Linked DNA regions of Elephas maximus indicus. The protein of the gene in region 2 interacts with the protein of the main gene of each other region in a pairwise test. Links are inferred from orthologs where the notes say so. Each region holds a gene or a part of one and is shown on either strand. Other genes may lie near its edges.

Region 1 (7,892 bases), on a different chromosome or scaffold from region 2:
GGTTTAGGGGAAGATGCAATCAGGTTTGTGATCTGCAATTTGACTCTGGCTTCTTGAATAAGAGCTAAAGGTTTCTGACTTGCATAACTGGATGGAAGGAGGTATCATTCAGGAGGAAATCTGCCCCAGAAAAGTCTTTAAAGCCCAAAGAGGACTTAACTGCATTTCACTTTGCCTGAAACTGTGTTAACCCAGTTTGATCCCCTATCTTACCTATGAAATGGGGCTCCAACAGATTTGTTTTTTTTGCTACTTCCCGAAATCAAATTGATTTTTAAAAGTACAAGGATTTTCCAACATAGAAGATACTTCAAAGATTCTGCCACAGTTTTGAAATCGATTACAAATGAGTTCCAAAACTGGTTTGAGCAATGGGACAACATTATGGAATGAGTGTGTCATTTCCCATTACAGCTACTTCAATGAGGTTAACATGCATTTGCTCCTGTTAAATATTTTAAAGAAACCTTAACCGTTAAGAGTACTCTTCCTTATGTGATATTAAACTAAAAGATGAGAACATCAGGCATTACCATAACTATTCTGCTTTCATGTTCGTGTTTCAGTGTTTCAACATTTTGAGATGTATATAGGAAACTTAGCATTTTGTAGAAAACAAAAGGTATGATTGAAAAAATAACATATAATCTCTTGACCTTAACATATAAACATTTTACTATTTCTATCCGGTCCTCTTTACTGTCCATTGCGTTCATTCTAATGTAAAAAAAAAAAAAAATAACACACCTGTATGTATACAAACTATATACAGAATAAAATTATTACCATTACCGATGCTTCAATATTCACTTTCCCTGGTTTCATTTTTTAATTTGCAACCTAATGGCGCTTTCATAGTAGGCATACTGCTGCCTTTAAGTCTAGAAACATAGAAACTTCAAATCTGACTAACCCAAGGAAAAAGAGATGAAAGAGATTTCCTCCTTTAAAATCAACATAACACATCTCACCTTAGTACTGAGGTATTGCACTAATTCTGACAGGATGGGCTCCAAGGCCATCTGCTTGCATTAGGCCCTCTTTTTAGTGTTTCATTAACACTCAACTGCAGTTACCAGGATGTTACCACTTCTTGTACGCAGCAGAATTCTATTTTTTTTTCCCATGCTGATTTTATCTCAAGGCATCAAAAGACAAGACTGTGATCTGAGGCCAACATGAAAAATGTCATCTCCACAAATGAGGAGAAAAGTCAAGGGATTTTTTTTTTTTAATCAGGTTTTAAGCCTATGAGCCAATATTATTTTGTAAACCTAAATTGTCTCCACGCTAGAGATTATGGTAAAAAATGTGGTCCTTGGAAACAAGGGCTGGACAGCTTTAAATGTTCACCTTTTTCTTTTTTCAGGTCTTAAAAAAAAAACGGAATCAGACTATAGCTATATCTGAGCATAGCTAAGGCTGGGTATGGGCAGTACCAAGGAAGATACAGCGAAAAGCCTTCAAGGTTCCCAATCTGACCCAGCCGACTTTCCTGTCTTCCTCAGATGGAGTGATCTGTGTCTCCAGAGCTGGAATGTGGGGGAGGGAAAGTCATAATGGCCTCTGCCTTCTCCCTTCCCCAAGCCCCAAACTGATACCGCAAACCACTTCCTACTGGGGATTGAAGATCATAAGCTTTAAGGGACAATGGAACTCAATGGAGGCTTCAGAAAGATGGAGGCAGTCAGAAGAGATTGGGGTAGGGAGTGAGGGCGAGGGGATGCGCTCAGACTGGGATGGGTGAGTAGGGACGCCAAGGCCAGGGACTTCGGCAGCATGAGAAGGCCTGGTCTGCATATTCCAAGACAACCCTGCCACAGCCCTTTGAGAAGCTTGCGGGGCTCCTGTGAAAACCCAGGGCATCTATGCACCCAGTGCCTATCACACTCGCCCAAATCTGGGGCTTTTCCTGCCCTTAAAAAACCACAACCCCTCACAGAAAGCAGCAATACATTTATGGGCTTTGAAAGGGCCGCCGGGGCAAGTGTGTGTTCTGCAAACGCGGAGGTGGAGGGGAGGGAAAAAGAGACCCCCCAATTCGAGGAACTTTAATTAAACCCGGCACAGTGAGGGGCAAAATAAGACCTATAAGCCTCGGGGATAAAAGAGGCAAGGGGCAGGGTCCAGCGGCGCCCCCCCGTCTCGGGGGACGACGACCCTGGGCGCGGCCGCCGGGCGGGGGAGGGGGAGAGGCCGCCCAGCTGCCCGGCGCTGGAGCGGGGACGCTGCGGGGCCTGGGCGCGGGGTGCGGGGCGCTGGAACGGGGACGCTGCGGGGCGTGGGGCGCTGGAGCGGGGACGCTGCGGGGCCTGGGCTCGGGGCGCGGGGCGCTGGAACGGGGACGCTGCGGGGCCTGGGCGCGGGGTGCGGGGCGCTGGAGCGGGGACGCTGCGGGGCGCGGGGCGCTGAAGCGGGGACGCTGCGGGGCCTGGGCGCGGGGTGCGGGGCGCGGAGCGCTGGAACGGGGACGCTTAGGGGCCTGGGCGCGGGGTGCGGGGCGCTGGAGCGGGGACGCTGCGGGGCCTGGGCGCGGGGCCTGGGCGCGGGGCGCGGCCCGGGAGCGCGGCCTGGGGAGGAGGCAGAAGCTGGCCTAGGCCTCGGGGGCCCGACACACCCACCGCAGCCGCCGCGGCCCCGCTTACCTGCTCCTCCTCCGGGGTCAGCTCCGGCGCCATGTCGGGCCGGGGCGCGGTCGCGGGCTCCATCCCGCCGCCGCCCCGCGGACACAGTCGCCCGGGAGCCGGGGAGCCCGGACTGTGGCCTCCGCTTCCGCGTCCCGCGCTCAGCAGCCCGAGGCCGGCTCGCGCATGGTCCGGCCGGCGGGGCCCGGCGCCCGCGGCGGCCGCAGACCCGCTCCCGTCTGCGCACAAAACCCTCTCCGAACTGCGGCTCCCTTCTGGGCGGAAATCCTTTTTTATTTTCTTCTCTCTTTCCCTCACACTCTCCCTCCTCTCCCGGAAAAAAAAAAAAAATGCAGGCGAGGAGCTAACAGCCAACCGGGATTAGAAACGGAGCTATTAAATAAAGAAGTTTTCAAGGCCGGAGCCAAAGGACGGCGTGGAAACTTCCCGAAAGCCACCGGCCTTCTCGGTTCTCCGGCGCCCGCAGACGTGACGGAGCCTCCAGGCCGCCGCTCGGGCCGTGCTCGGGCTGCGGGCCCCGGCGACCTGCGCGGCCGCCTCTCCGCCTCGTTCCTCAAAAGCGGCGGCGGGGAGAGGGAGGGAAGGAGGGAGGGAACGAGGAGAAGGCGCCCCCCTGCCGGCTCAGGGCCAAAGCTGCGGCCGCCCAAGCCCTCCGCGGCTCCATTGAGAAACTGAGCGTCTCATTCACAAACAGGCGGCGAGGAGGGCCCGGCAGAGCGAGGACGTCGTCCGGGAGGGGGAGACAGAGAGGGGCCCGCGGGGCGGGGGGCACAGGGGAGGGGAGAGGAGGGGGAGACGGAGAGGGGCCCTGGGGGGCGGAGCGGGCGGGGGGAAGAGGAAGAGGAGACAGAGAGGGGCCCCCGGAGGGGGTACAGGGGAGGAGAGAGGAGGGGGAGACGGAGAGGGGCCCTCGGGGGGGATACAGGGGAGGGGAGAGGAGGGGGAGACGGAGAGGGGCCCTCGGGGGGGGTACAGGGGAGGAGAGAGGAGGGGGAGACGGAGAGGGGCCCTGGGGGGGGATACAGGGGAGGGGAGAGGAAGGGGAGACGGAGAGGGGCCTTCGGGGGGGGTACAGGGGAGGAGAGAGGAGGGGGAGACGGAGAGGGGCCCCCAGAGGGCGGTACAGGGGAGGAGAGAGGAGCCCGCGGGGTGGGGGAGACGGAGGAGGGGTGGCTGCGGAGCTGTACAGAAGGAGACTCCGGGCTGCAGGAGGGAGAAAAGGGAAGAAAAGAGTGTGGTTTTCCTAAGAGGTTAAACTAAGCTCCTTGTAGGAAGAAGAGTTTGAAAACTGTCTGAAGGGCAAATCGGCTAGGTTTGATTTGCGGCAACCACCTATATGTTGAGGGGACACAATGCTCGTCTGTTTCCATGCCACTTGCTGACTAAAAGCTCCTGGAAAGGTTGCCTGCGAGGTCTAGGATGCTCAGGTGGAAAGGAGAGGCAGCTAATCGCGGCTCCATCTCGCTCTCTCTCCTTGCCAGCTGTATCCTGTAATCCATCAGCAGTTTAGCTAATTTTAGTCCTTCGCAAAAACAACATCCGATTGTGAACCTCATTCAGGAATCACGAAGCCTTTGAAAGCCTTTGATTTGCACTCAGGCAAGCGCAGCAAAGAGGTTGGGGGTTTTACTGGGTTCAAGATACACAGTTTTGGGATCAGTTGGGGAGACACAGGGAAGACAGGGCTGAGTCTGGGATGTTTTTGCATCATTTCAGGCCAAAGATAAATATTCCAAAAGCAGTCCAATGAACAAGCGAGTGCCGCAGTTGGTCCCAAGGCTTGAAACCACCCAGCACTGCTATCTCAGGTCTTGGGTCTCTGGAGCCCAATGAGAGAGACCCAAAGGGGAGGGATCTTCAGACAACTGAGGGTGCTCTTAGTTCTGATGCTCATTCTAGTACAGTACTTTAAAAGCAACCCCTGACTTCCCTTCATTTCTGCAATTATGCAGAAGGCCTTCAGGTTGCCCTGGGTGAACTGCGAATCAGTGAGAAAAGAAACCCCTGGTGCTTGGATCCGGTATTTTATCCTTTTTTTTAATCAATAAAGCTGACTCTGGTTGAGTTCATCACCACCTGCAGGAGTTACAGTTTCAGTATTGCAAACAGACTCTCATTTAGAAGCCAGTTTATTGAATAAAGTATACTTATATGCTAAGCATTGGGTTATGCACTGGGGTTGCAACAATGAAGATGACCATGTTCTCTTCCATATACATGTAAGGGTATGGAATGACCCCTGACCTATATATCACCAGTGAAAAAAAGCAAGATTTGGAACAGTGTGCATAATATGCTGTCATGTGTATAAAGAAAAAAATGAATATTTATAAACTTATTTATACATAGAAGAGCTTTGGAAGGATACAACACAAATAGTGGTTGCCTCCCAAGGGGGAACTGGTTGTCTGGGAAACATAAGTGAGAAGGAGACTCATCCCTCTATAGTCTTTTGTACAATTTTTTTTTTTTTACTTTTTATTGAAGCATAACATACCTACCAAAAAGTGCAAATATAATAAATATATACCTTGATAAATTTTCATGAACTGAACACACCCCTGTAATCAGCACCCAGATCAAGAAATAGAATGTTTTCAATTTGCCAAAGTCCTCCTCATCCCCCCAACCCTCCTCAAAGGTAACCACCATCTTGGTTTCTAAAAGCATAGAATAGTTTGACGTGTGTGTATTTTAAATACAAAATTTTAAGACTTTGAATGTGGATGAATAATCTTTAAAAAAAAAAAATTTTTTTTTTTTTTTTAATTTTAACTTAAGGAAATACAGTTTTTCTCCTTAAGTAGGCAAGCAAATGGCTCTAGAACTAAGCTGGAGTAAGAAATGGCAGAACCTGAGTAGTGCAAACCACTGAGTGGGGTACAGGAAAGGATAGGGAATGTCTCAAAGTATAACTGACACTTTTACATATTTTTGCCCAATGATCGATCCTCAGGACACCAAGGGAGAGTGACTTATCCAAAAGCACACAGCTAATTAATTAGTATTGAGCTAGAACTTGAACCCAGGCATTCTCTTAGCCCAAGGATCAGTAAGGAGAACTAATAAAGGGAGAGGTTTATTGAGTAAGCCAGGAGAGAGAACTCAAGTGTTTTCAGAGGCACAGCTGTGTGTGGGCGTGTGGGTGTGTAAGGGAACAATTTTCCGGAACTGTTGCCTATCACAGCCCTAACAGGACAATGCTTGGAAGTTTCTGAGCAAAGACATGGGTAACAAAACTAAGTCCAAGGCAAAACTGGCTGGCTGGATCCACTCTGAGAGACAAATTTTAGGAGAACCAGAGAACAAAGGAAGCCCCCTGGCTTGCCCTTAACTGCAGTCTGGAGCCAATGAAATCCAGCATGGTACTGTCATCCTACTCAGTGGAATCTTAGAGCCTGAAGCAGTTTGTAGTAACCCCAACCGTTTTTTTTAGTTTGTAGTGGAAACAACAACATAATGCTCCATCAATAGGAAGCCTCAGTAAGTTAGAGCACGTGTGTACACTGAAATAAGTTGACACTGAATGTGTCTTTACCATCTGCCAAACGCTCTTCTAAATGACTTTCAACCCTTTCATCTCACCATAACAGTTTGATATAGGTGAAATCATGATCCTAATTTTACCAAAAATAAATTAGGTAGTTCCACACGCACTGACAGGGCCTCCTTGCATTTTTGAATGCTTAGCTGCAGACAATACATCTTTATTAAATGAACGTGAACAGTAAGGGCCACAATCCGAAAGTGGAAAATAAACTACAAAGACGGAACCCCAGGGTGGAGAGGTATCATGAGTTGTACTTTTGTTTTTGCATTTTCTTTGTTTCTTTTTTTTGCTTTTAAAGCACAGGTTTCAGGTCTCTGTCTAGAAAGTTTATCCTCCCCTTCCCCCCACCTCTTTCACTAGAAAAGTCTGACTCATCCTTAAGGTCTCAGCTCAAAAGTCACTTCCTCAGCAAGATCTTCCTTGACTACTCACCAAGCTGAATTAGGCCCCCTGTTACTCTCGCTTGCAGCACCCTCTTGTTTTTATAAGAGGATCAGAATTTATAACTGTGTACTTGTTTCTACGTCCACCAGCTTAGTGTCTGTCTGCCTTACGAGACTGTAAGCTCTAGGAAGGCAAGGACCACATAGTTGTGTTGGCCCCTGTACCTCAGTGTTTAGAGCCTAGCACATAAGAGGCAGGCACTTAAAAAATGTGTTGAATCAATGAAGACAGCCACTTAACGCATAGGCCTCTATCTTACCATGAGACCTCCTCTCGCTGCCTTTTTTGTATTTGTTCAGCACTAAGAATAAAGTGTGGAAGAATAAAGATACTTCCACACTGTGACTGTGGTGATTTTATAACCTTTCCTCCAAAACACTGTCACTTCTAAAACCCAAAGCTTCTCTCAGGCGTTGCTACAAAATATATACTGCCTGTGAAACAGATGTGTGTTGTACTGTAGACATGCATTGGCTATAAAAGATTCCCCCCGCCCAAAACAGAAATTCTTACTGCCATTTTTCTAAAAGAGAAACAGCAAATAAGGTCATACTGCTAATCACCGTCTAGGGTGAGAAATTTTTTTGTTTACTCATAGGCCAAATCTATCATCACTAGGATGGCTGAAGGTGAACTCTGCAGGGAAGGTGGAAAATCTTAACCCCACAGAGATTATAATTCCCCCATTATCCAATATTCTAGGGAACATTCTTATTACTAGTCTCTGCTTCAATTTATTTTTTAAATATGTAATCTGGTTCTTTGCTCACACAAAAACAATTTTCTCATCTGACACCCCTATCCACCACTCTCAGATCACAGGTTAATATCGCTCACTGTTGTACATAACTTCTGTACCTGGTAGCTGTGTCTAGAATGTACCTAACACTCTGAATTATACTTATTTGCTTCCTTGTGAGTAAAAATGGCATGGAGGCTGCGTCTGACCTTCTCTAACTTCAGTAGGGTGGGAGAGAATCACCACCAGCCTGAGGCAGATTCCTATGAAGCTGAGGTCAGACATACCTCCTCTCTCCAACTTTTTTACCAATTCTGACACAAACCAACCCTCCCACTGTATTCTCTACTTCTCTGTTGGGCTCAATAATTCATTGCAATGGCCCTACAGAACTCACAGACAACACTCATGATTATGGGGTTTATCAGGGAAGTAATAGGTTACAATTCAGGATCAAAAATGACCGAGGATACAGTTCTTCAATCAGGACATCTTCTCAGCCGTGCCGTCAACC
Region 2 (7,807 bases):
TCAAGCATGGAAACCTCTGGTGGGACCCCGATAAGAGACTGAGTCATGCCTACCCTCACTCACAGGCCAGTCCTAAGTGGGCCTCCACATTGCTCCAAAGGGCAAGGGGAAGAGAAGGAACTGAACAGTGCACTGGGGGTGGGAGTGGCATGGAACAGGATGCCTGGAAGTGTGGGGAGAAACTAGCCTGTTCATTCTCTGGTCTGACAACTGTGCTCCCCTTTCCATCATTTTTTTATGGAACAGCAACATCAGCCCCCCCCCGCCCCCCGATCTTGTGTCCCCCTCCCAGGGAACTCCTCCTCCCTCAAGACATTCCTGAAATGCATTCCAGAGGAGTTGGGCAATGGTGGGGGTAGGGGTGGGTGGTGATGGAGTACAGGAGGTCAAATCCCAGCAAGGAATGGAATTTAAGTGTACTGGTGGGAAGGAACTTGGGGTACGTGGAAAACACAGTCAAAGCAGATGGTCACAAAGGGGGCTGCAGGAAGACAGGGAGTTACAGAGAGGGACAGAGAGAGAGAGAGAAAGCTGAAGACAAGCAGAGCGTAGGAGGGTTGGGGGAGTAACACTCAGTCTGTTACCAAATTTGGCCTCTGAGCCCGTAACCGCGGGCGGGGCGGGGGGAGTTGTGGGTGAGACTGACATATCCGGCCTCAGGCTGCTGGAGCCTCACTTAGGGCTGGACTGGGCAGCTGAAGGGCTGGACCTAACCTCCCCCGACACAGCCCCTCCCCACTTACACCCCTATCCCACACACACTCATCCTCCCCAAATGCACCCCAGCCTATGCACAGAGCTCCTTCCCAATAAGCTACCTACTTAGTATCTCCTTACAAACATGTTATCTCAATCTCACAGCTCTATACATATCCCGCTACAGCCTCTTTATCTTCCCGTGTAGGCCCATCCATACATGCAGCTGCCCACAAATACATCTTCATCTCCAGCACACAGCCCCCTACCCCAACATCTCTCCTTCCATTCAGTATACATTCTCTCTCCATTCACCCAGGAAGCATTCCTTGAGGGCTGTTATGGAGAAGGCCCTGGGTCACACTATCCAGTGGCTGGGAACTAAGCTGAGTAAGACGTAGCCTTTGCCCTCAAGGGGAGAAAAGCGGATCAGCTAAGCACAGAATTTAATAGAGAGCAGGATGAGCTAAGAGCCTGGAGGCGTGTATGCAGAGAAGATATCCCAATAGGCGAGGGAAGTGGAACCAAAAGTCTCCCTGAAAGACGTGCCATTTGAAGTTCGATTTTTAAAAACAAGGATAATAAAAAAGAAATAATGATCTATCATTTATTGACAAGGTATCAACTGCTTTGCATACATAATTTTGTTTAATCCTTACAACAACCCTGCAAGGTAGGTGCCCTTATCTCCATTTTTACAGACTAGGAACCTGAGACTCAAAGAAGTATATGTTCAAATGTACTTGTCCAAAGTCACACAGCTAACAAGTTGTAGAGCCAGGATCCGAACTCAGGTTTCTCTGACTCCAAGGCCCAAGCTCTCTCCACTACGCCAGCCGGAGATGAGTCAAGGGTAGCATTCCAGGCAGAGAATAGCATAAGCAAAGGTGGAGAAGCAGGAAATCGCAGAGGAGCATTCAGGGAAGTGAGTAGGCAGGCTGGTTGAAGCACAGGGTACCTGCAAGGGAGCAGTGGTGGGGAAGTTAGGGTTCGGATAGAAAGGCAAGGGAGGACTAGAGAGGAGTATGAGGTATTTTACCTACTAGAGGGCAGCAAGTGGCCAAGGGAGGCTTTTGAGCAGAGAAGGAACATGACCAGAACTGGATTTTAGAATATAACTCTGACAGTTATCTTGGAGATTGGTTAGAAAAATACCATATTAGCACAAGTGAGAGATATGGAAGCCAGAGTTAGAAGGTGGAGAGGAAGATGTCACTTAGAAAAAAGGTTAAGAAGTAGAACTGACAGGACTTGACAAGTCTGTCCTGTCAACCCTCAGAGACCAGGGCCTAAAGTCAGGTGGGGGTCCCATAGCTTCCTGTCATCAGTAGCCACTTAGTTTCTGGGACAGCTTGAGTTTAGGTAAAGGGGAGAGGAATCAGGTTGAGCTGGGAATGTGAGGATGAGGCTGCCAGGAAAAGGGGACAGGTATGTGGTTAGTAGCCAGGTAGGAGCAGGTGGGGCGTGGTCAGTGACTACATCAGGCTAGAGATGGTGGAATGATGGTGGCAGGAAAGATGAATATATGATAAGTCACTGGATCAGCACAGGGGAAGTAGAGGAATGAATATATGGGCAGTGGCTAAGTCAGACTCAGGGAAAAGATGGAGTGAGGTCAGAGGCCAGGTCAGGCTACAGGGGATTGAAAAGAGATGGGGCTGTCGTCAGTGGCTAAATTAGGTGGGGTGTGGGTACGGTGAGAGGACATTGGCAATGGCTAAGTAAAGCTGGAGCTGGGGGCGGGATGGGATGCAGCCAATGGCTGGGTCAGGCTGGGTAGGGGCTAGGGCTGTGGTCAGTGGCTGGGTCAGGCTGGGAGCGAAATGGGGGTGTGGTCAGTGGCCTGGCTGGGCGTGGGATCAGCAAGACCCAGTTTCCTCTTTGGGTCTCGTTTCCTCTTTTCTGTTTGGGGAGTGGGGGAAGGGGATCTTCAATTGGACCAAGAAATTAAAGGAGGCTTAGAATTGGAAGATGGCACAGGGACTGGGGGTATGTGGCAGTTGTGTTGGGTTGGGGAGGCTGCTCAGATGAGCAGATGGTATGCAGATGGATGAGTGGGTGAAAAAGGTAGAAGGGTGTTTTAACATGATGGGAAAGCTCAGGTTTGGATAAGGGTAAATTAAGGTAGGATGTGTGAATCAAGTAGGGAAGGCCTGGCAGAACTGAGGTTGGGAATAGGTGGTAAGCAGATGAAGAATATGGAGAGTTAAAGGCAAGGGAAGTACTTTGTAAGGGGGTATGCAGGAAGGGTGTGGAATGCAGCGCCAGGGATGAGAGCTGGAGAGGAGGGCTTAATATCTAGGGAATGAGGGAGCAGTAGGAGTTAACTTTCGGTAGATTCGGCCACCCTCTTCTCCCATGACAAGAGCATTTCCTTGGTCTGCTTCCCCCTTAGTCATCAGTCTCTTCTCCCCTCGGTAGTTCTCCACTTATGACTAGACATTGTGCATCTCCTGGGCCCCTGTCCCTTTCTTATCTCTCACCTTGTAAACAACACAGTCCAGGAAACCCCAATCCTCCATTTGTGCTGGCCACAGAAAGAAACTTGGATTTAGAGAGTAGAATAGAGAAGCTGGATTCCTAGTTGCCTGCACTTCCAGCCCAGATTGTCATCATTCTGGGTTAAAGAAGTCCCCGTGACTACCTAGGAATAAGACTTTCCCCCAAAGCAAGAGCATCTACCTAGTGACAGCTTCTTAAATTTCATCTACCTGAGATCAACTACCCTGACCTCAATCATAACCCCTAAAGCTGCCCCCTAATTCCTAACATTAACTCTGACCCTAACCAGTTTCCTGATTGCCAATACTGGCTTTGACAGTCGTCTCTTTCCTAGCAGAGAACCATATTCAATGCCTGATCCTAAATGCTGACCTGACTTTACCGTTAACATCAAACTCCCTGACCTTAACTCTAAATGCTGAGTCTTAAAACTAATATTCACTTGTATTTTTATTCCTAACCCACCCCATCATTATGTATCCCTAATATTGACCTTGCCAACTTCTGTAATCCCTAAAATGGGCGTCTAACCTAATTCCTGTTGTTGACCTTTAACCCGACCCTGAACTCTAACTTTGATTTAGGCTGTCCATCCCAGAAAACAAAATAATGGCCTCAATCTAAACTTTACATATAAAATAGGCTGAATTTACACTAATAACTCGAAGTTTCGACCCTGGCTTTATAACTCTTAAAGCTAACGTTAAATCCACCACCCAATCTCATCTAATCCCAAACTTAGCAAAGCGTTCCTACTCACATATCCACTATCAGCTAACCTCAAAACCTATTACCGCCCTGCGCCTCACTGTGGTCACTCCTCACCTTCCCTAAAGCCCACCGCAGGCAAAGGACTGCGCCTAGGAAAAGCCTGGCTCCCGCAAAACGGCCTACTGAGCTCCGAGACCAAGCCGAGATATATTGGACCCTGACCTCTCCAAAAGGACCCGAAACAGACGCAGGACTGCCAGCGGCCCCGCCCGCCCGCCTCCCGGGCCGGGCCTTGCGGCCCCACCCCGGGGCTCTAGCTCGGCCCGGTCCGGCCTACCTGAGCTGCCCGGCTCTGTGCCCCGCCCGCCGGCCCGCTAGCCCGGTCGTTCTCCCGGTCGCTCTGGGGCTCTGGCCTCGCCCTCCCGCCGACAGGCTCTCTCTCGGCCACTTCCGTCCCCGGAACGTCCCCCACCCGCGGGCGGCGCCCTGGGCCCGCGCTCTATGGTTGCCGGGACTGCAGGAAGCTGCTCTGGCCCCAGCTCTCGATGCTCGACAGCCGGCCGAAGACTGGCAGCCCCTCCCCGGCAGGAAGCAAGGGCGCGCACAATCCAGAGGAAACGCCCGAACTGTGCTCGAGTTCCCTTTTAGTCTGGAATCCTTCCTTTTTTCGCTCGAGGCGAAGGCGGAGCCGGATCACCCGAATTCCCGCCCTCAGGGTGTGCGGAGGCTGACGGGACGTCCCCACTATTTGCATAGCTCCTGGGACGTGGCGCAGCACCCAGGCCACTTCCGAGTTGGAGGGAACTCCATGTCCCAGAGTGCCATGGTGGCGAGATGTATTACTTCCGTTGTGTTGGAAGCGGCAGAGACTGGATCTGGGAGGCGGGTCCGCGTGAGAGTGACAGCTAAAGGCAAAGTGCGGCGAAGAGGGACCCGAGACCAACAAACAACTGGGCTGTGGTTCGTGCCTGAAATTCGGGGGTTGGAGCTGGGTGGCGGGGTGAATCCCCGGGTTTCTGTCCATTCTTGTCTGTAGTATGGAGCTGGCACTGGGTCCCAACGACCAAGACCTGCTGGGTTTTCTGCTAGAGGAAAGCGGAGATTTGGGGGTGGCGCCGGAGGAGGCCCTGGAGGCTCCGCTGGACTGGGAGCTGCCGCTCTCCGAGGTGAGTGGAAGTTCTGAGTAGGTGAGGCACGGGGCTGGGGGCGTCCATGAGGCATGGGATGGTGGTGATAGGTCAAAGCCTGTTTATTGAACCATGTGCAGGTACTGAGTGATTGGGATGTGGAGGATTTCCTGAGTTCCCTGCTAAGTCCCCCAGCATCGTTGAAGGCTCTCAGCTCCTTCAATCCCTGTCCTGTCAGTCATGATCACAACTACTCTCTCCCACAGGAACATGTCTCCGTAGATACAGGTGAGTCTGAAATATTTGAGGTTTATGGGGAGGAAAGTGCTCATGGGTCTGGCTATTCATACTTTTTCTTTTGCAGACAGTGGGAGCTGTGGGAAGGTGGCCCAGATGACTCCCCTGCAGGTGAAGGAGCCTGCAGAGCAGGTACTTGACTAACAGGAGGATTATTCCTACATTGCGCAAATGGGGGCAGGATTCCCCATTCCTCTGACAACCCCTTGCAACTCTGCTTCTCCCTCCCACCCTCAATAACCCCAGGAGATTGAGGAACTGATACTGACAGAGGAGGAGAAGAGGCTATTGGAGAAGGAGGGGCTTTCGCTGCCTGGGACACTTCCTCTTACTAAGGTAAGTCTCCCATTGGCAGAGCAAAAGCTGGAGGGAGGTTTTATGAGTCTCGAGTAAGCTAATCTTGTTAATTTTCTATCAGTAACTTGAAAAAGGACCAACCAAGAAAGCAAACCCACTGTTGTCGAGTCAATCTGACTCATAGCTATCCTATAAGACAGAGTAGAACTACCCCATAGAATTTCCAAGGAGTGCCTGGTGGATTCGAACCGCTGACCTTTTGGTTAGCAGCCATAGCACTTAATCACTACACCACCAGAGTTTCCCAAAAAAGGACAGAGGTGGGAAATTTAGCAAATTTGTTGGTAATGGGAAGCTGGGGCATATAGGTAATATGATGGATGCAAAATGCTGGTTTTGTGGGGTCTGAAACATACAATTTCAGTATTCTCATTAAGAAAAAAAAATCATAATTATCAGCACAATATTACTATAGAGCCTTGTGCAAGTGAGGGTCTCTGACACTTAGATTTCATTGACTTCGTAGTAATCCACTTCTGGCTGAATTATAGAATTAAGCTTTAGATCATTCAGTAAGGTTGGAGTAACAGTATAACAAAAATAAATATAAATTCCTGCGTTTATATTTATTGAGTGACTTCATAGGCCCGGTATTGTGCAACTGTGATGAAATCAATGTTCACTGACAGAATGGTTAAGGGAATTTAAATATAAATTTCTTGCAAGTGCAGTGAGTCAGCAGGTCAGCAGGAAGATACGGCTACTGAGTGAATGGGACTTGGAGGCTGCATCAGTAGAGGTGTTGCCTTCAGAAGTGGAGTGACTATCCTGTTCTCTTTTGTATTTGCCAGGGCACATCTTAGTATTGAGTTTTGAACCCAGATATTTAACAGATATTAACAGGATGGAATCCATCCTGAGGAGAGTAGATAAAATGAGATAAAATTTTTGTCCAGGTTTTTTTTTTTTTAAACTCTGAAGAAATGTCAAATGTCTTAAAATAACTAAGGAAGGTTTGTTCAACACGGCTTCAAAGATTAGATACTAGGTCAGTCCAATGGATAGAAATTATAAGGAGGCAGATGTGGGCTTGGGAGATTTAAAAAAAATATAAAATTGTTAAAAGTGGTCCGGGCTTATTAACAGAGATGTTAACACCTGGCTCCCAGCGGCGTTCTGCACAGAAGCCGAGTGCATACTGGTCAGGTGATTGAACTCATTTGCCTTCCAACTCTTCGGTCCAGTGTTCCTCTGATGATGCCCCTTCCCCCATCTTCTTCCAGAAGGAGGAACAAGCCCTCAAACGAGTACGGAGGAAGATTCGAAACAAAAAGTCTGCTCAAGAGAGTCGTAGGAAGAAGAAGGTGTATGTGGGAGGTTTAGAGAGCAGGTATGAAAGGAAGAAGGGCTCAAGGGTGGGGGGAACAGAGGTAGTTGGAAATGATTTTAAAGGGAAGACAGAGGTCATATCCCTGTTATTCCCCCCAGGATCTTGAAATACACAGCCCAGAATCTGGAGTTACAGAACAAGGTGCAGCTCTTGGAGGAAGAGAATCTGTAAGCAACCCTCCAACATTAGTCCTTTCCCATCACCCCCATTTAATGCTGCCCCACTCTTTCCCCTGTTCCACACTTGACTTCTAACTGGGCAGCTCCTATATGCAATCTGGTACTTAGCCTTCAATGTGGGTCCAGGAAGCTCAAAGTACTGGCAGAATTCACAAATAACTATAACCAAGAAAGAGAAAGGAAGGAGGAAGAAACACTTCAGTGGGTAGATGGCATTTGATAGTAGATAGGATTCTAGGGGTGAAGTAAACATTTCAAGCAGAGTGAACACACCACCATCTGGTTTGGCTGGAACTCTGACACAGGTGAGTTGGGACCAGAAGGTAGAGGTTATGGAATGCCTGGTGAGGACTATGGGCATCATTGATCAGGCAGAACTACTGAAGGTATTTGCCAAAGGAATTTGTCAGGGTGGAGAGATTATTTTTTTTGTTGTTTGTTTTTAATGGGGAGCTTTAAGCATTTTATCTGCAGAAAAGTGGTCACTGGCAAAAACAAAGTAAGAGATGATCCAGGGCACAGATGGAGGGGGTGGCCTTAACAGGAGAGTTTCATTGTATCTCAGTTACCAGGCCAGGGTGTGCTCACTCTCTCTTCTCTCCCTTCTC
Region 3 (7,917 bases), on a different chromosome or scaffold from region 2:
AGCAGCCAAGAACGTTAACCATTTGCACCACCCAGGGACTTCTCCGTCTGTACAGTGCAGCCTTTTATTTACGTATTTATTTATTTTTATTGTGGTAAACATATAGGTAGCAAAACACTTGCCATTTCAACAATCTTCACATGTACAGTTCAGTGAGCCTTTTTTTTTTTGAGCTATTTTATTTGTAGGAAATTTTGGCAGTCCCCTTTAACCTGAAGGGGACCACTTATTCTAACACCCCAAGGAGATTTATGGCTACATCCTTCCTATCCGGCTGTATTTCCCTCCTTTACTTGGTGTACAAGGAACCTTGGTGGTGCAATGGTTAAGTGCTTGGTTGCTAACTGAGAGGTCAGTGGTTCAAACCCACCATCAGTTTCATGGGAGAAAGATGTGGGAGTCTGGTCCTGTAAAGATTTCACTTGAGGGAACCCTATGCGGCAGTTCTACTCTGTCTTATAGGGTCAGTTACTAAGGGTCGGAATCAACTTGAAGGCGCACAACAACACTCAGCATGTACCCTCCACCTGACGGAGGCTGCTTTTCCCTTTTTCAGGCTTCTCTGTCCAGGTTTTGGTGCTCCTCTTTTTGCTGTTCCCTTCACCTTGGCTGTTCATCCTCTTCATCCAAATCCTTTTGATTTCTCCAACTAAAATCCTGTATGTCTCCTGTACAAAAACTCACCAGGCCATTCCTGGTCCTTCTTAGACTCCAATATTATACGACGGACAGTCAGTGGTGAAATTATAAGGCATGGTGAGATTTAAGTGAAACTAGGCCTGGGTCTTCTGGGTGGGCTCTGCCTATTGGACAACTTGGGCTTTGTGTCATTTCTGTTTTGTTTTCTCATCTTTTCCCTCCCTCTTTTAAATACAAAGAAACCTAGCCTAAACATGGACACGCTTAGAAAGCCAAACTTTGGAGGAGGAAAACCAGGAGACGGCAACAAGAAGACTAAATTATCTAATGCCGAGCACATCTGGTCTTTTCACAATACAAACAAACAAAATTCCCACATGCTACATCAATCAAAGAGATCTGCATTCATTTTTAGAACACCTCCCAGAAGGTTTTGGTGTATTATAGCCCAAGATTCTGAGGGGGGAAAAAAATTCATCTAACCAGTTCACTAAGGAAAATAACATGGAATAAAACAAAATGATTTTAAAAAACAGGTGGTAATGAGGTACAAAGATGGTGATATAAACTTGGGAGGTAAGAAATTTAAGAAAAAATAAAGGATCCCTAAGGCTATGAAGGAAATCGTGGTGGCGTAGTGCTTAAGCAAAAGGTCCACAGTTCGAATCCACCAGGCGCTCCTTAGAAACCCTATGGGGCAATTCTACTCTGTCCTATAGGGTTGCTATGAGTCAGAACTGACCCAAAGGCAACAGGTTTGATTTTTTGGTTTGGTTAAGGCTATGAAGAGGAGCCCTGGTGGCGCAGTGATTGAGAGCTTGGCTGCTAACCAAAAGGTTGGCAGTTCAAATCCATCAGGCATTCCTTAGAAATCCTATGGGGCAGTTCTACTCTGTCCTATAGGGTCACTATGAGTCAGAACTGACTTGAGGGCAATGGGTTTGATTATTTGGTTTGGTTAAGGCTATGAAGAGGAGCCTCAGTGGTGCAGTGGTTAAGAGCTCGGCTGCTAACCAAAAGGCTGGCAGTTCGAAATTACCAGCCAGCAGCAGATTTTTTTTTTAAGGCTATGAAGAAGAGAAAAAAAATAATGCTCGCTTAAATCTGAAGAGAGGCTTTATGTGGCACCTAGAAGAAACATCTCTTCTATGAAAATTGAGACAAAGCCACAAGATGCCCAGCTCAAGCCACACATCGGGTCCAGAGAGGAACATTTCAAAGAGCATATTCAGTGATGCTGTTTCACCAAGAACTCCATGTTCACAAAAATATTTTCCAGTCGCCCTGCTAAACCTTAAGCTGAAGAAAAAACTGCTTCCTTAAGAAAGAGCAGAAATTATAGAGATGTAAAGAACCTAGAAAAGAAAACAAACAAAACAAAAAACCCTGTCCAGGCACATGACACAAACCCGAATGAACTAAGATTCTTGAATTTAGTTCCCTGACTCCATCTCATCCTCTATTCTGGCTAAGTACCAAAACCAAACCAAACCCAGTGCCATTGAGTCGATTCCGACTCCTAAGTAGAAAAACAAATATGGAAATCAGGTGAAAGGTAGTTCTAGGATCATTAAAAACAAATTTTTCTTGCTCTCTCCAAATCAACTTGGAAAAGGAAAACAAAAGCCTTCTAACATTTCCTTTACATTCAGCAATTAACGGTAACTTAAAGCAAACCAAATCTGTTGCCATCTAGACCATTCTGACTCATGTTGACCCTATAGGACAGAGCAGAACTGGCCCATAGGGTTTTCTAGGCTCTGAATCTTTGCAGAAGCCAACTGCCACATCCTTCTCCTGCAGGACAGCTGGTGGGTTCAAACTGTCATCCTTTGGTTGGCAGCTGAACGCTTTAACCACTGTGACACCCGGGCTCCTTAATGGTAATTTGCGACTATGTTTTTAACTTTCTTTTGTTGAATCATGACTCTCCTCCTCCCCCACCCCTTAGTTTCCAGGGTCAACGGGCAAGCTTTTCTAAATCATGAGACTGGGTTTGCTATGTTTGGTCTTGATCCAGGTTCTTCATTATCCCTGTTGTTGTGCACTACATAGTCCTGTAGACATAACAGATAAAATGGCGAAACAAAACCAGGAGATAACTGTTTACCAGCTCGCTGCTAGTCCACAAAATTGAGAATACTCTTTTACTGTGAACTTGTTAAAACAGAAACCCTGGGCAGGGGCCAGGGGGTGAGAGGTGACTTATTTCTGCTTCTGTCATAAATTCATTGGTGCTTCCTTTGCCTCAGTTTCCTAATCTGTTTAACAGTGGTGTTCAGAAAGGTTTTTTTTTCTTTTCTTCCCTAATTCTAAACCCATTACCATGGAGTTGAATTCCAACCCATAGCGACCCAATAGGACAGAGTAGTACTGCCTCATAGGATTTCCAAGACTGTAAATCTTTATGCACTTTAACCACTGTGCTACCAGGGCCCCTTCCCTAATTCTAAAAAAAAAAAAAAAAAAAAAAACCCTAATTCTAGCTAGTGCAAAATGTCTTAAGTATTTTTACACCATTTCATCAAAACAGAAACAGGAACAGGAACGATACATATATATATATATAAAATCCCACCAACCCACTGCTGTCGAGTGGATTCCAACTCATACCGACCCTATAGGACAGAGTAGAACTGCCCCATAGAGTTTCCAAGGAGTGCCTGGTGGATTCGAACTGCCGACCTCTTGGTTAGCAGCTGTAGCACTTAACCACTAGCCACTAGGGTTTCCATATATATACACAACCATTTATACATATATGTATAAGCTCTTGTTTCCACAATTCCTCAGTCTTCAGTTGTCTCTTGAAACCTCTGAAATTAGGTGGTCTGGAACAATTAGATGCCATTTGTATTATCAAATGTCAATTCATAGTCAACCCCACTGAGGGCTTCTCCTTGGACAAAAGGGGTGCCTGAGGAGTTTAAATAAGTTGTTTCAAGTCACATGACTAGTTTGTGTGAGAACTCAGCAGAACTGGAATCCAACTCTTCCCCTTCCCAAATGAACGGTATTTCAGAAGGCTTATGCTGACTTGCTGAGTCGGAATCAACTCTACTGCACCTGGTTTTGGTTTGGTTTTATGCTGAGTTGAGGTCTGTACTGGGTTTCTACCTCAGCCCAGGATGGTCCTTGAAAAAAACATATGATTTGGGGTCATTCCTTAATCTGAAAGATTCTGAAATATTGGGCTGTTCACCCGAGATTTGTGATACAGCATTCTATGGAAAGTCTAAGAGTCCATTTTAAACTGAATTCTAGGGGACACCATAACCCCGTTCTGAGCACAGCCAAATCCTTTGAGATCTCAGACTCAACCTACTTTCTTCGGGGTTGACCCAAGGCAGAGCTGACACATACTAGAACATTCTAGAGTACACCCACGTATCTGGTTGAACTAGAGGCCTGAGGGGGGTGGGGGGGAGAAGGGCACAAGATCAACCATTTACCCAAAGTACCAGCAGTTGACAAGACACTGTCATAAACCCATTATCAGTGCCAGCCAGTGTCCTCTTTCATATTGGCTGTTGATGAAATCTCTTCAAATGATAATTTTTGCCTTAACCTTAAATGACTTTTTCATTTTCAAGAAAACTAATTATGAATCATCACCAAGTACGTTGCCTTGAATCACAAAGCCTGGCGTGCATGTACGTTTTGTCCAAGCCTGCACGAGTGGAATATTTTGAGAGTATGAAATGTTTGAAACCCAAACAGATGCAAAGACTTCCTCAGAACTGCTCTGGGATTAGGCAGGGCAGGCATCGACCTCCGGAGGGAGTGGGAAAAAAGGCAAGACTGGGTCAGGTAACGCCCTTGGGTGAGGTCCATGGAAGATAAAGAGGTCAGATGGCAAGGATGCAGCAGGCGCTTTAAACAATTCTGTGCCTCACTGAGTTGGGTCCATAAGTGAGACATTGGAGGTGCGGACGCACAAAAACTCCACGACCTTTAGGGTCATGGCAGGGTCAGCGGGCAAAGAAAGGCCGGCCTGGTGCTGCCAGAGGTTAATCGGTTTAACGCGGCGAACCCAGGAAAGTTCACCTGGTTTTGCTACTAACCTGCAACCCTAGGCCCAGAGGTAAACTGGGCGGAAGCTAACTCAGAACTGGAAAATCCAGGCAGCCCAGAGAGACGACCTTCCCTTTCCCGCGCCCCCCGCACCCGGGGTCGAGGATAGGGTCGGGCGCAGCGCCGGCCCCGCCCCGCCGGGCCCGCCCCCGCCCCTCGCCCCGCCCCCGCCCCGCGCCCGAGCTGGGAGGCTGCAACAGCTGTGCTGCAGTCGCCGCTCCGGCGCCTCTCGAGCCGCTTGCTCTTCCTCAGCCGCCGCGGAGCCGCACCCGTAGCCCGGCCGAGGAGGCTGAACACGCAGCCGGGAGCCCGCAGCCCGCGTCTCCAGCCCGCCGCCGCCCTCCGAGGGCGCTCCAGGCCGCGCCATGGTTAAGGTGACGTTCAACTCGGCTCTGGCCCAGAAGGAGGCCAAGAAGGACGAGTCCAAGAACGGCGAGGAGGCGCTCATCATCCCCCCCGACGCCGTCGCGGTGGACTGCAAGGTCCGAGGGCCGGGGTCCGGGCTGGGCGCGGGAAGGCGCGGGGACCTGGGCGTCTCGGCCCGGCCGGGTAGTGCAGCGCGGGGCAGCCGCGCAGAGGGCGCGCGGGCGCGGGGCAGGAGCTCCGAGGAGGGTCCCGGAGCGCTCCTTCTTCTCGGGCTGCTCCCTTTCTTCTGCGGCCGCAGCTTCTTTCTTTGTAAGGAAGTGCGTGCGAAGGAAGCCCTGCCTGACGCGGGTCCGGGAGCTTGGGAGGCCGGGAGAGGAGGCTGGAAGAATGGTGCCGAGTTCGCTGTCATTTGTGCAGCCAGGGGTGGGTGCGTGGGGCCGGGACGTGGCTCGACCTGTAGACCAGCAGCGACATGCAAAACAACAACCGAGTTTGGCACTTCCTCTCCGGAATAAACATTGTGCCTAAAATGGCTGACATCATCGCAAACCTAAACCTCTGTTGCTTCCTACTTTCGTTTCTAGGCTGAACAGAACTTGGACTAAGTCCAGCAGCTGAAACCTCTTAATTTAAAAAGCGTTTTTCTTCTTTACCTCCTTTTGCCACGGCCAGTCGTTCTTGGCAGGTGAACTTCACCTTGGGGTCTAGGGAGGGGGCAAAGGAAAGGGAACAGAGGGGAGGGGAGACAGCAAGGTGAGGGCTCAGGGTAGGTTCTGGCTGTTGATTTTGTAATTAAAGCAGAAATATTCCTGAAAAAGGTCAGTAATTACTATGGGGATGTTAGCGTAAAACCAACAGTTGGCGCTTCAGTTCGTATCCCTTGAGGACTTTTTAGCTAAGTGAAACTTAACCTAAGAAATTTGCCCCCACGTCCGTTGTAATACCTTCCTTTATTTTAGGAAATTTCCGCCTTTAGCCTAAGTAAAAGAATGGAACCGTTACTGTTTTACTTCTCGTGGCTTACAATAATAGCGTTTTAAATGTAATTGACACAGAAGTTAAAAAGTTCCACAGCTTTTTTCTATCAGATCTTCAGGCTGCAAAAAGACAATCCGGCGGAAGTTAACTGTAGAAGTTATCTATGTTGCTTAGTTTATTGTTTTGTTGGCATTTTTCAAGACGTGGGTAAACTTAGTTTTAACTTAAAAAAAAAAAAAACCCAATAATTTGTGTGTCAGTTATAAGTAGTAAACCTTATTATTTATATTTTGGTCTAATGAGAAATAGACCATCTATATAGAAAATTTGAGCATATCATATTAATCTGCCTGCCGCTGTATTTATTTTCAGGAAATGATCTAGTTAAAGATGCAAACATTAGAGGTTAATTTTTAATGACTGCTTTACCTTGAGCTGATTGCCTAAATGGATTAAAGGGTGGTTTTCCCACATCCATTGCAAACAGTTTTGGTCTTAAAAAGAAAATGTTTGGAAAGCACAGACAGTAGTTCTTCTAGGAAATTATCTTACCTCTAAATTTATGTAACAATTATCGTACCTAAAATACATCGAGAGAGTCAGGTGCTCAGTCAAAACAGTTTTAAATCTGTATTTTAAATCCCGTAAACAAATACAACTCCTCCCACTTCAGAAAAGAGGTGGGGGGGCGGGGGGAGAAAGCCTCTGATGATGTCACTCCAGAACGTTTTCTTTCTATTCTGCGTTAGTGAAGGAGATATGAAAATCTTTGGACAGAAATCAGAATTAATATATCTGGTAGCTTTAAATCTGACTTAGGACAATTTTCAAATCATTTCTGTTCTGAAACTGACGTTATTTTCAGATCCTTAGAATTTCTCACAAGTTTACCATCTTCAAATATTGTGGTAATAGCAGCTATAAAAAAAATAAGCATTCATAGCTCTCTGCATTGTTTTCCGTTTCTATTTTCTCAGATCCCCATGTCCAAAGAACAATACTGGGACTAAGCAGCGAAGGCCAGTCTTCGTTTGTAAGACAAGCAGTCATGGATGAATTGGCAGATACAAATGACTAATTCTTTTTTCTTGCTGTAAGCTGAAAGACTTCTGTTCTACAGTGGGTGACAAAACATTGCTCTACGTTAAAAGTAGAATCCTTATAATTAGTTTCACTTAACAGGTGAATGAAGATCTTACCTAATGACAGACGTTTGTGAAAGAACTGATATCTTTGTCTTTGAGCTTGGGCAGTGATTATATAATAATTTCTAGCTCCCTGGTGGTGACCAAACAGGAAACACCGCTTCTGACTGCCTGGGCTTCTGCAGAATCGGCCTTCGTGTGTTCTGCCTGGGGCATTTTCTTCGTCTGGTTGGTTCAGAGGGTCACGTACGGTCAATTAGTTAAGCCCACAACTCCTGAGCAAGAATTTCTAAATACCCAAATCCTCTTCTAGACCACAGCATTCCATATCTCAACTGCCTAGACCAGTGTTCCTCAATTGTGCCTTTAAGGGCCACCTGTGCTGGTATCGTCTGGGACTCTGGTTTAAACACACAGATTCCACTACCTTATGCCTCAAGAATTCAGCTCTCTCCAGTCAGCTGGCTTATATAACATGCATTCCGGTACTTTTACACTGCTCCTGTCTTTAGCTATTTTTTTTAGCCTGTTTTCTCTCTCAGGGTAAGAACCCTCCGGAAGTGGCTTCATTGCCCTATTTTTCAATCTTGTGGTCTTTTCAGTAGCTTTTTAATCCCAAGAGCCATTTCTATCGATTATATTATCTCAACTAGCTTGCCATTTTCCACTTGACTGTTTTCATCTCCCTCCACCAGTTCCAGTGGATACAAGCTCT
Region 4 (7,394 bases), on a different chromosome or scaffold from region 2:
TAACAGAATCATATAGATTTTAGAGATCAGGCACTGGTCGGAGATGTCATAGCTGAAAACCTTTTCCCAGTCTGTAGGTGGTCTTTTTACTCTTTTGGTGAAGTCTTTAGATGAGCATAGGTGTTTGATTTTTAGGAGCTCCCAGTTATCTGGTTTCTCTTCGTCATTTTTAGTAATGTTTTGTATTCTGTTTATGCCTTGTATTATGGCTCCTAACGCTGTCCCTATTTTTTCTTCCATGATCTTTATCATTTTAGTCTTTATGTTTCGGTCTTTGATCCATTTGGAGTTAGTTTTTGTGCAAGGTGTGAGGTATGGGTCCTGTTTCATGTTTTTGCAGATGGATATCCAGTTATGCCAGCACCATTTGTTAAAAAGACTATCTTTTCCCCAGTTAACTGACATTGGGCTTTGTCAAATATCAGCTGCTCATATGTGGATGCATTTATATCTGGGTTCTCAACGCTGTTCCATTGGTCTATGTGCCTGTTGTTGTACCAGTACCAGGCTGTTTTGACTACTGTGGCTGTAAAATATGTTCTAAAATCAGGTAGAGTGAGGCCTCCCACTTTCTTCTTCTTTTTCGGTAATGCTTTACTTATCCGGGGCTTCTTTCCCTTCCATATGAAGTTGATTTGTTTCTCCATCACATTAAAAAATGTCATTGGAATTTGGATCGGAAGTGCATTGTATATATAGATGGCTTTTGGTAGAAGACATTTTTACTATGTTAAGTCTTCCTATCCATGAGCAAGGTATGTTTTTCCACTTATGTAAGTCCCTTTTAGTTTCTTGCACTAGTACTTTGCAGTTTTCTTTGTATAGGTCTTTTACATCTTTGCTAAGGTTTATTCCTAAGTATTTTATCTTCTTGGGGGCTACTGTGAATGGTATTGATTTGGCAATTTCCTCTTCGAGGTTCTTTTTGTTGATGTAGAGGAATCCAAGTGATTTTTGTATGTTTATCTTGTAACCTGAGACTCTGCCAAACTCTTCTATTAGTTTCAGTAGTTTTCTGGAGGATTCCTTAGGGTTTTCTGTGTATAAGATCATGTCATCTGCAAATAGAGATAATTTTACTTCTTCCTTGCCAATCCAGATACCCTTTATTTCTTTGTCCAGCCTAATTGCTCTGGCTAGGACCTCCAGCACAATGTTGAATAAGAGTGGCGATAAAGGGCATCCTTGTCTGGTTCCCATTCTCAAGAGAAATGCTTTCAGGCTTTCTCCATTTAGAATGATATTGGCTGTTGGCTGTGTATAAATGCCCTTTATTATGTTAAGGAATTTTCCTTCTGTTCCTATTTTGCTGAGAGCTTTTATCATGAATGGGTGTTGAACTTTGTCAAATGCCTTTTCTGCACCAATTGATAAGATCATGCGGTTTTTGTCTTTTGCTTTATTTATATGGTAGATTATATTAATGGTTTTTCTAATATTGAACCAACCTTGCATACCTGGTATAAATCCCACTTGGTCATGGTGAATTATTTTTTTGATATGTTGTTGAATTCTATTGGCTATAATTTTTTTGAGGATTTTTGCATCTATGTTCATGAGGGATATAGGTCTATAATTTTCTTTTTTTGTGGTGTCTTTACCTGGTTTTGGTATCAGGGATATGCTGGCTTCATAGAATGAGTTAGGTAGTATTCCATCCTTTTCTATGGTTTGAAATACCTTTAGTAATAGTGATTCAAACCCATTTTTAATAGCAGCCCTGTTGGCGTAGCGGTTAAGAGCTACAACTGCTAACCAAAATGTGCTCCTTGGAAACTCTATGGGGCAGTTCTACTCTGTCCTATAGGGTCACTATAAGGTGGAATTGACTCTGTGGCAATGGGTTTGGTTTTTTTTGGTATGGCATCCATGCCGTAGAGATAGCTTAATTTATTGAATATTTTCCTTATTTTGGAACATTTAGGTTGTTCCTGATTCATTATTATGTATACAACTTTTATGGACAGCCTTATATATAAATCTTTGTCTCTCTGGTTTTTTTTTTTTTTTTTTTTTCCTTAAGACTCATCACTGAGTCAAAGCACAAAAACTCTTTCAAGGTTCTTGAATCATATTACCAAACTGCCTTTCCAGAAATGATACACAATTTTTTTTCACCCACAATATGGCAGTTCACTGACCCTTGTGAACATTTGTATCACCTTAAAAACACAAAGACCAGTTATTCAACAGAATGCAGAAATTATCGACCAATGTCATTAGTATCACATGCAAGTAAAATTTGCTGAAGATACTTAAAAAATGGCTGCAGCAGTACATTGACAGGGAACTGCCAGAAATTCACGCTGGATTCAGAAAAGGATATGAAATGAGGAATATCATTGCTAATGTCAGATGAATCTTGGCTGAAAGCAGATTATACCAGAAGGATGTTTACCTGTGTTTTATTGACTACCCAAGGGCACTCAACTTGGTGAATCATAATAAATTATGGGTAACATTGTGAAGAGTAGGAATTCCAGAACACTTAATTGTGCTCATTTGGAACCTGTACACAGACCAAGAAGCAGTTGTTCCAACAGAATATAGAAATACTTTGTGGTTTAAAACAGGAGAGGTGTGCATCAGGGTTGTATTCTTTCACCATACTTATTCAATCTGTATGCTGAGAAAAAAATCTGAGAAGCTGGACTATATGAAGAAGAACGAGGCATCAGGATGAGAGCAAGACTCATGAACAACTTTCAATATACAGATGACACAACCTTGCTTACTGAACGTGAAGAGGACTGATGAAGATCAAAGCCTTCAGTATGGATTATGCCTCAACAAAAGAAAACAAAAGTCCTCGTGCTGGATAAATAAGCAACATCATGACAAACAGAAGATACTGAAGCTGTCAAGGATTTCATTTTACTTGGATCCACAATCAATGCCCATGGAAGCAGCAGTCAAGAAATCAAAAGATGCATTGCACTGGGCAAATCTGCTGCAAAAGACCTCTTTAAAGTGTTCAAAAGCCAAGATGTCACTTTGAGGACTAAGGTGTGTCTGACCCAAGCCAGGGTATTTTCAATTGCCTCATACGCATGCAAGACCTGGACAATGAATAAGGAAGACCAAAGAAGAATTGATGCATTTGAATTATGGTGTTGGTGAAGAACACTGAATATACCAGAAGAATGAACAGATCTGTTTTGGAAGAAGTACAGCCAGAATACTCCTTAGAAGTGAGGATGGCAAGTCTTTGTCTTACGTACTTTGCATATGTTAATCAGGAGGGACCAGTCCCTGGAGAAAGACATTATTCTTGGTAAAGTAGAGGGTCAGTGAAAAAGAAGACCCTCAATGAGATGGATTGACACAGCAGCTCCAACAATGGGATGAAATATAGCAATGAGTGTGAGGAGGGCCAGGACTGGGCAGGACCAAGGGTGTAGGCAGTGTTTCCCTCTGTTGTTCATACAGAGTTGCTATGCATTGGATACGACTCCAAGGCAGCTAAGAAATACACACACACACTGAGAAAAGCTCAATTGCTCCTGGCAGTTGGCACGTTGGAATATTCTTCACCGTAAAACCCAAGGTCCTATTTTAATGAACTAAAGCTCAGAAGTGGGACCTTTCTAAAACTTCCCTTCACGCTTGTTTCTTCTTAGGCAAGGGGTTTGGGTGGGCGTTGGGGTGGAGACCTTTATGATCGAAGGTGGCTTTCGGTTCTAGATTCTGAAGCTGTCACCATCATAATGGCTCTGGATAAGGTGGGTGAAGGGCCGTATTTCAACGCTCCCTATTTTTTAAGAGTGGCTCTGACTAGGAGGGAACACATGGGAAATAGGTGGAGGCTCGGACAGGGGGCTTTGGACAAGCTGGAACCTTTCCCAGAAGTCGCCCCCTCCCTCCACACACACACTGAGCTCTGTCAGTTCTGGGTCTGAGCCCCCTTCTTCGGTTTTCCCACCGGGGGAGGAGAAGGCGCACAGCCCGCAGAGGCCCCGGGGGGGGTCTGGGTGCCCCCGAGCCACTCCCAGGGCGGCCAGGCCAGCAGGCCAGGCCAGGGCTGCCAGCAGGGCAGACGTCATCTCCGTGTCTCTCCAGCCACCCGCACCAACAACCTGGCCAAGTTTACCACCCGGACTCAGGCGGCTCTCGGGTTACCTGAGCTGGCTAACGACGTCAGCGCCACATCATCTGGGCTTTTTATATTGCAAGGAAGCAGGAAAAGAAGGAAGAAAAAAACCCGCCGCAGCGAGCCAATCGCTGGGAACTCGCCGCTGCACAAAGGGGGCGGCGGGAGCGGGAGCGGGAGCGGCGAGGGCGAGCAGCGATCGGTGCCGCCGGGGGCCGCCCCCGCCGGCCGGGACCAGAGGCGGGGCGCTGTGCGCGGGCCTGGGCAGGTGGTGCCGGCGGGCGCGCGGGGCGGGCCGGGCTGCGCCGACCAGGGCGCGGCGCCGGGCGCTCTCGGCCCGGGCGGCTGTGGCGCCGGCGCGTGGGGGAGGAAGATGCTGCAGTCGCTGGCCAGCAAGTCCTGCGTGCGCCTGGTGGAGCGGCACCGCTCGGCCTGGTTCTTCGGCTTCCTGGTGGTCGGTTACGTGCTCTACTTGGTGTTCGGCGCAGTGGTCTTCTCGTCGGTGGAGCTGCCCAACGAGGACCTGCTGCGCCAGGACCTGAACAAGGCGAAGCGGCGCTTCCTGGAGGAGCACGACTGCCTGACGGTGGAGCAGCTGGATCAGTTCTTGACACGGGTCCTGGAGGCCAGCAGCTACGGCGTGTCGGTGCTCAGCAACACCTCCGGCAACTGGAACTGGGACTTCACCTCCGCGCTCTTCTTCGCCAGCACCGTCCTCTCCACCACAGGTAGGAGGCCGCCGCGGCACTCTAGCCGGCCCTGCGGCGGTCCCCGACCACTCCCCGGGCCGCCCAGCTGCGGTGACTTGGGGGAGGATGGGTCCGTGGAGCCGGAAGCAGGCGAGGTGGCTTCTTAATGTGACTTCGGTGTTGCCGCCCGCAATTCTTGGGAAGTGGTTCCAACCTCTCCGCCTGGGTGGTTGCAGGGGCTTCATTTTTTTTTTTTTTTTCGAGACGACCTGCGCCGAACCGCCAGGGTGACTCAGAAGCATCCTGGCCACCCTCGAGCGTGGTAGTGAGAGGATGGCAACTTCCCGTCTAGTGCTCCGAGCGCCTCACCATCCTTCTGACCCTATCATCTCGGAGGCCGGGGCTGCAGAATCTAATACTACTGCGGTAACAGGTCACCTTCCGCAGGGTGCCCTCGCTTTTAATGTTTCGGATATTTTTTCCGCTGTGTTGGGCCTTCGGGGAGGTTTTGGTGGTAGCCGAGCGACGCCACTCTGCTCTTCGCAGGTGACTGCTGAGCGCACAGGCAGATAAGGTTTCTTTTCAGGGTGAGAGGAGAGGTGAAAAAGAGGAACGTGAGCGTCCGTTTGCCTATGATCTGGCAAGACGGGGCACCCCTGATGCAGCAGTTCTTTCAACTTTGGGGGAGCGGGGTTACCCTTAAACTTCCAAGCGCCCAGGCCCGGCACTGCTCACGCGCTCAGTGGAAGAGCGCCCCAGGTGGAGGATGAGGTCCGGGATGTGCCCCAGATTAAATGAGTGGAGACTGAATTTTCCCAGCCGTGGCTGGTGAGGCACATACACCTGGGTGAAGATATAATTCTTTATTTGGACGCTGTAAAGACTCTTAAAGAGCGTCCGGTACAGAGCCCTTCCCCCGATCTATGAGTTCGAATCCTGGAACAGCCCACCCTGGCGTGCACAATGGCACACACTTTGCAGTTAAGTTCTGGAATCGGGGCCTTGTGATTACCCTGCCAGGAGCATTTTGTCTTCCCCCCACCCTACCTCACCCCACCAAATCTTTACAAGTGAATCAACAGCCAACATTTCCTTGACCCCCACCCCTACCGCCAACCCCACCCCCTCTTCACTTCTCAGAGTTTGTATTATCATCCTCCTAAACTCAGTGGTTTGGTAATTACTTGGTAGTGACTAACTCCTTCCACTATCCATGGAGAAGATGTAAAACAATCTATTCAATCTATTCAAAAGTCTGGGGTGAATGACTAAACTAATGTAAGTTTACCCTGAAATAGCCAGAAGTAGGATTCCAGCTTGTGTTGTGAAATTTTAAAAACTGTGTTAAATGTAGCGCTAAACAACACAAACCTGTTATCTCGCTTTGCCAAGAACGCCTGCTTCTCTGCCAGCACCACACTTTATTTTTTATTTTCACTACGGCTGCTTCCATTGTGTTTACCTGGCTCGGTTCTCAGATCCCTTACAAGTGTGCATGCCTTTCCTTCTGGGTATGTTTGTGCTAGATTTAGATTCATCCATTCTCTGTAGAAGTGTGTGTTTCCACTCGGCCACAGGTCTACAAGTGAGTCACAACGTTGGGTAAACACTTTGAAGAATCACTACTTTTAGTACTTTCCTGGTAATGGTATTTTGAAGATTGTTGTGTCGTCGACTCATAGTGACCCTATGTACAACAGAACGAAACACTGCCCGGTCCTGTGCCATCCTCATGATGGTTGTTATGCTTGAGCCCATTGTTGCAGCCACTGTGTCAGTCCATCTCATTGTGGATCGTCTTCTTTTTCCATGACTCTCCACTTTACCAAGCATGGTGTCCTTCTCCAGGGACTGATCCCTCCTGATGAAGCATACAAAGTATGTGAGATGACGTTTCATCGTTCTCGCTTCTAAGGAGCATTCTGGCTATACTTCTTCCAAAACAGATTTGTTCATTCTTTTGGTAGTCCATGGTATGTATATTCAATATTCTTCACGAGCACCACAACTCAAAGGTGTCAATTCTTCTTCTATCTTTCTTAGTCATTGTCTAGCTTTCACATGCTTGTGAGGCGATTGAAAACACCATGGCTTGAGTCAGGAGCACCTCAGTCCTCAAAGTGACATCTTTGCTGTTTAACACTTTAAAGAGGTCTTTTGCAACAGATTTACCCAATGCAGTGTGTCCTTTGATTTCTTGACTGCTGCTTCCATGGGCGTAGATTGTGGATCCAAGGAGAATGAAATCGCTGGCAACTTCGATCTTTTCTCCATGTATCATGATGTTGCTTATTGATCTAGTTGTGAGATAGAACAGTAATAAGGACAGTGTTATGAGGAAAAGAACAGTTTCAGGACTAAGAGGTGAGTTACCCTTTTAAGGAAGAAGCAGTTTCTGTTTTTCCGAAACCCATTTGCTTTTCCTGGTGGGATTTCACATCACTTGATGAGGCTCATTTGCAAGCTGGACATCATACATACCTATTTAAATGTCGTCAGCTTACACCTCCAATAGACAAACGTTTCTGAGATTCCTCTCCCTTTTAATTAGGAAAAAACGCAGTTCCTGTAGAAAGGGGCGGGGAGTAGATGTCTTATTATTGGTATTCAGATTG

The links.
Region 1: the proteins of CREB3 (region 2) and PTPN9 interact in a two-hybrid assay, tested with the Homo sapiens proteins (2 studies listed by BioGRID and IntAct). The two-hybrid records come from large-scale screens. The link is inferred for Elephas maximus indicus from reciprocal best matches to the Homo sapiens genes CREB3 and PTPN9.
Region 3: the proteins of CREB3 (region 2) and ITM2B interact in a two-hybrid assay, tested with the Homo sapiens proteins (2 studies listed by BioGRID and IntAct). The two-hybrid records come from large-scale screens. The link is inferred for Elephas maximus indicus from reciprocal best matches to the Homo sapiens genes CREB3 and ITM2B.
Region 4: the proteins of CREB3 (region 2) and KCNK1 interact in a two-hybrid assay, tested with the Homo sapiens proteins (2 studies listed by BioGRID and IntAct). The two-hybrid records come from large-scale screens. The link is inferred for Elephas maximus indicus from reciprocal best matches to the Homo sapiens genes CREB3 and KCNK1.

What each region holds. Positions count from the first base shown.
Region 1 is NC_064831.1:65,482,603-65,490,494, forward strand, and holds the start of PTPN9 (tyrosine-protein phosphatase non-receptor type 9), read right to left. Parts: upstream 3,001-7,892; 5' UTR 2,709-3,000; coding exon 2,646-2,708; intron 1-2,645. UniProt on the Homo sapiens protein: Protein-tyrosine phosphatase that could participate in the transfer of hydrophobic ligands or in functions of the Golgi apparatus.
Region 2 is NC_064827.1:44,514,270-44,522,076, forward strand, and holds the start of CREB3 (cyclic AMP-responsive element-binding protein 3), read left to right. Parts: upstream 1-4,798; 5' UTR 4,799-4,946; coding exon 4,947-5,075; intron 5,076-5,176; coding exon 5,177-5,324; intron 5,325-5,400; coding exon 5,401-5,465; intron 5,466-5,579; coding exon 5,580-5,669; intron 5,670-6,913; coding exon 6,914-7,020; intron 7,021-7,118; coding exon 7,119-7,187; intron 7,188-7,807. UniProt on the Homo sapiens protein: Endoplasmic reticulum (ER)-bound sequence-specific transcription factor that directly binds DNA and activates transcription. Plays a role in the unfolded protein response (UPR), promoting cell survival versus ER stress-induced apoptotic cell death.
Region 3 is NC_064832.1:30,744,431-30,752,347, reverse strand, and holds the start of ITM2B (integral membrane protein 2B), read left to right. Parts: upstream 1-4,903; 5' UTR 4,904-5,078; coding exon 5,079-5,195; intron 5,196-5,201; exon of another isoform or gene 5,202-5,764; intron 5,765-7,034; exon of another isoform or gene 7,035-7,917. UniProt on the Homo sapiens protein: Plays a regulatory role in the processing of the amyloid-beta A4 precursor protein (APP) and acts as an inhibitor of the amyloid-beta peptide aggregation and fibrils deposition. Plays a role in the induction of neurite outgrowth.
Region 4 is NC_064842.1:30,858,085-30,865,478, reverse strand, and holds the start of KCNK1 (potassium channel subfamily K member 1), read left to right. Parts: upstream 1-4,382; 5' UTR 4,383-4,463; coding exon 4,464-4,818; intron 4,819-7,394. UniProt on the Homo sapiens protein: Ion channel that contributes to passive transmembrane potassium transport and to the regulation of the resting membrane potential in brain astrocytes, but also in kidney and in other tissues.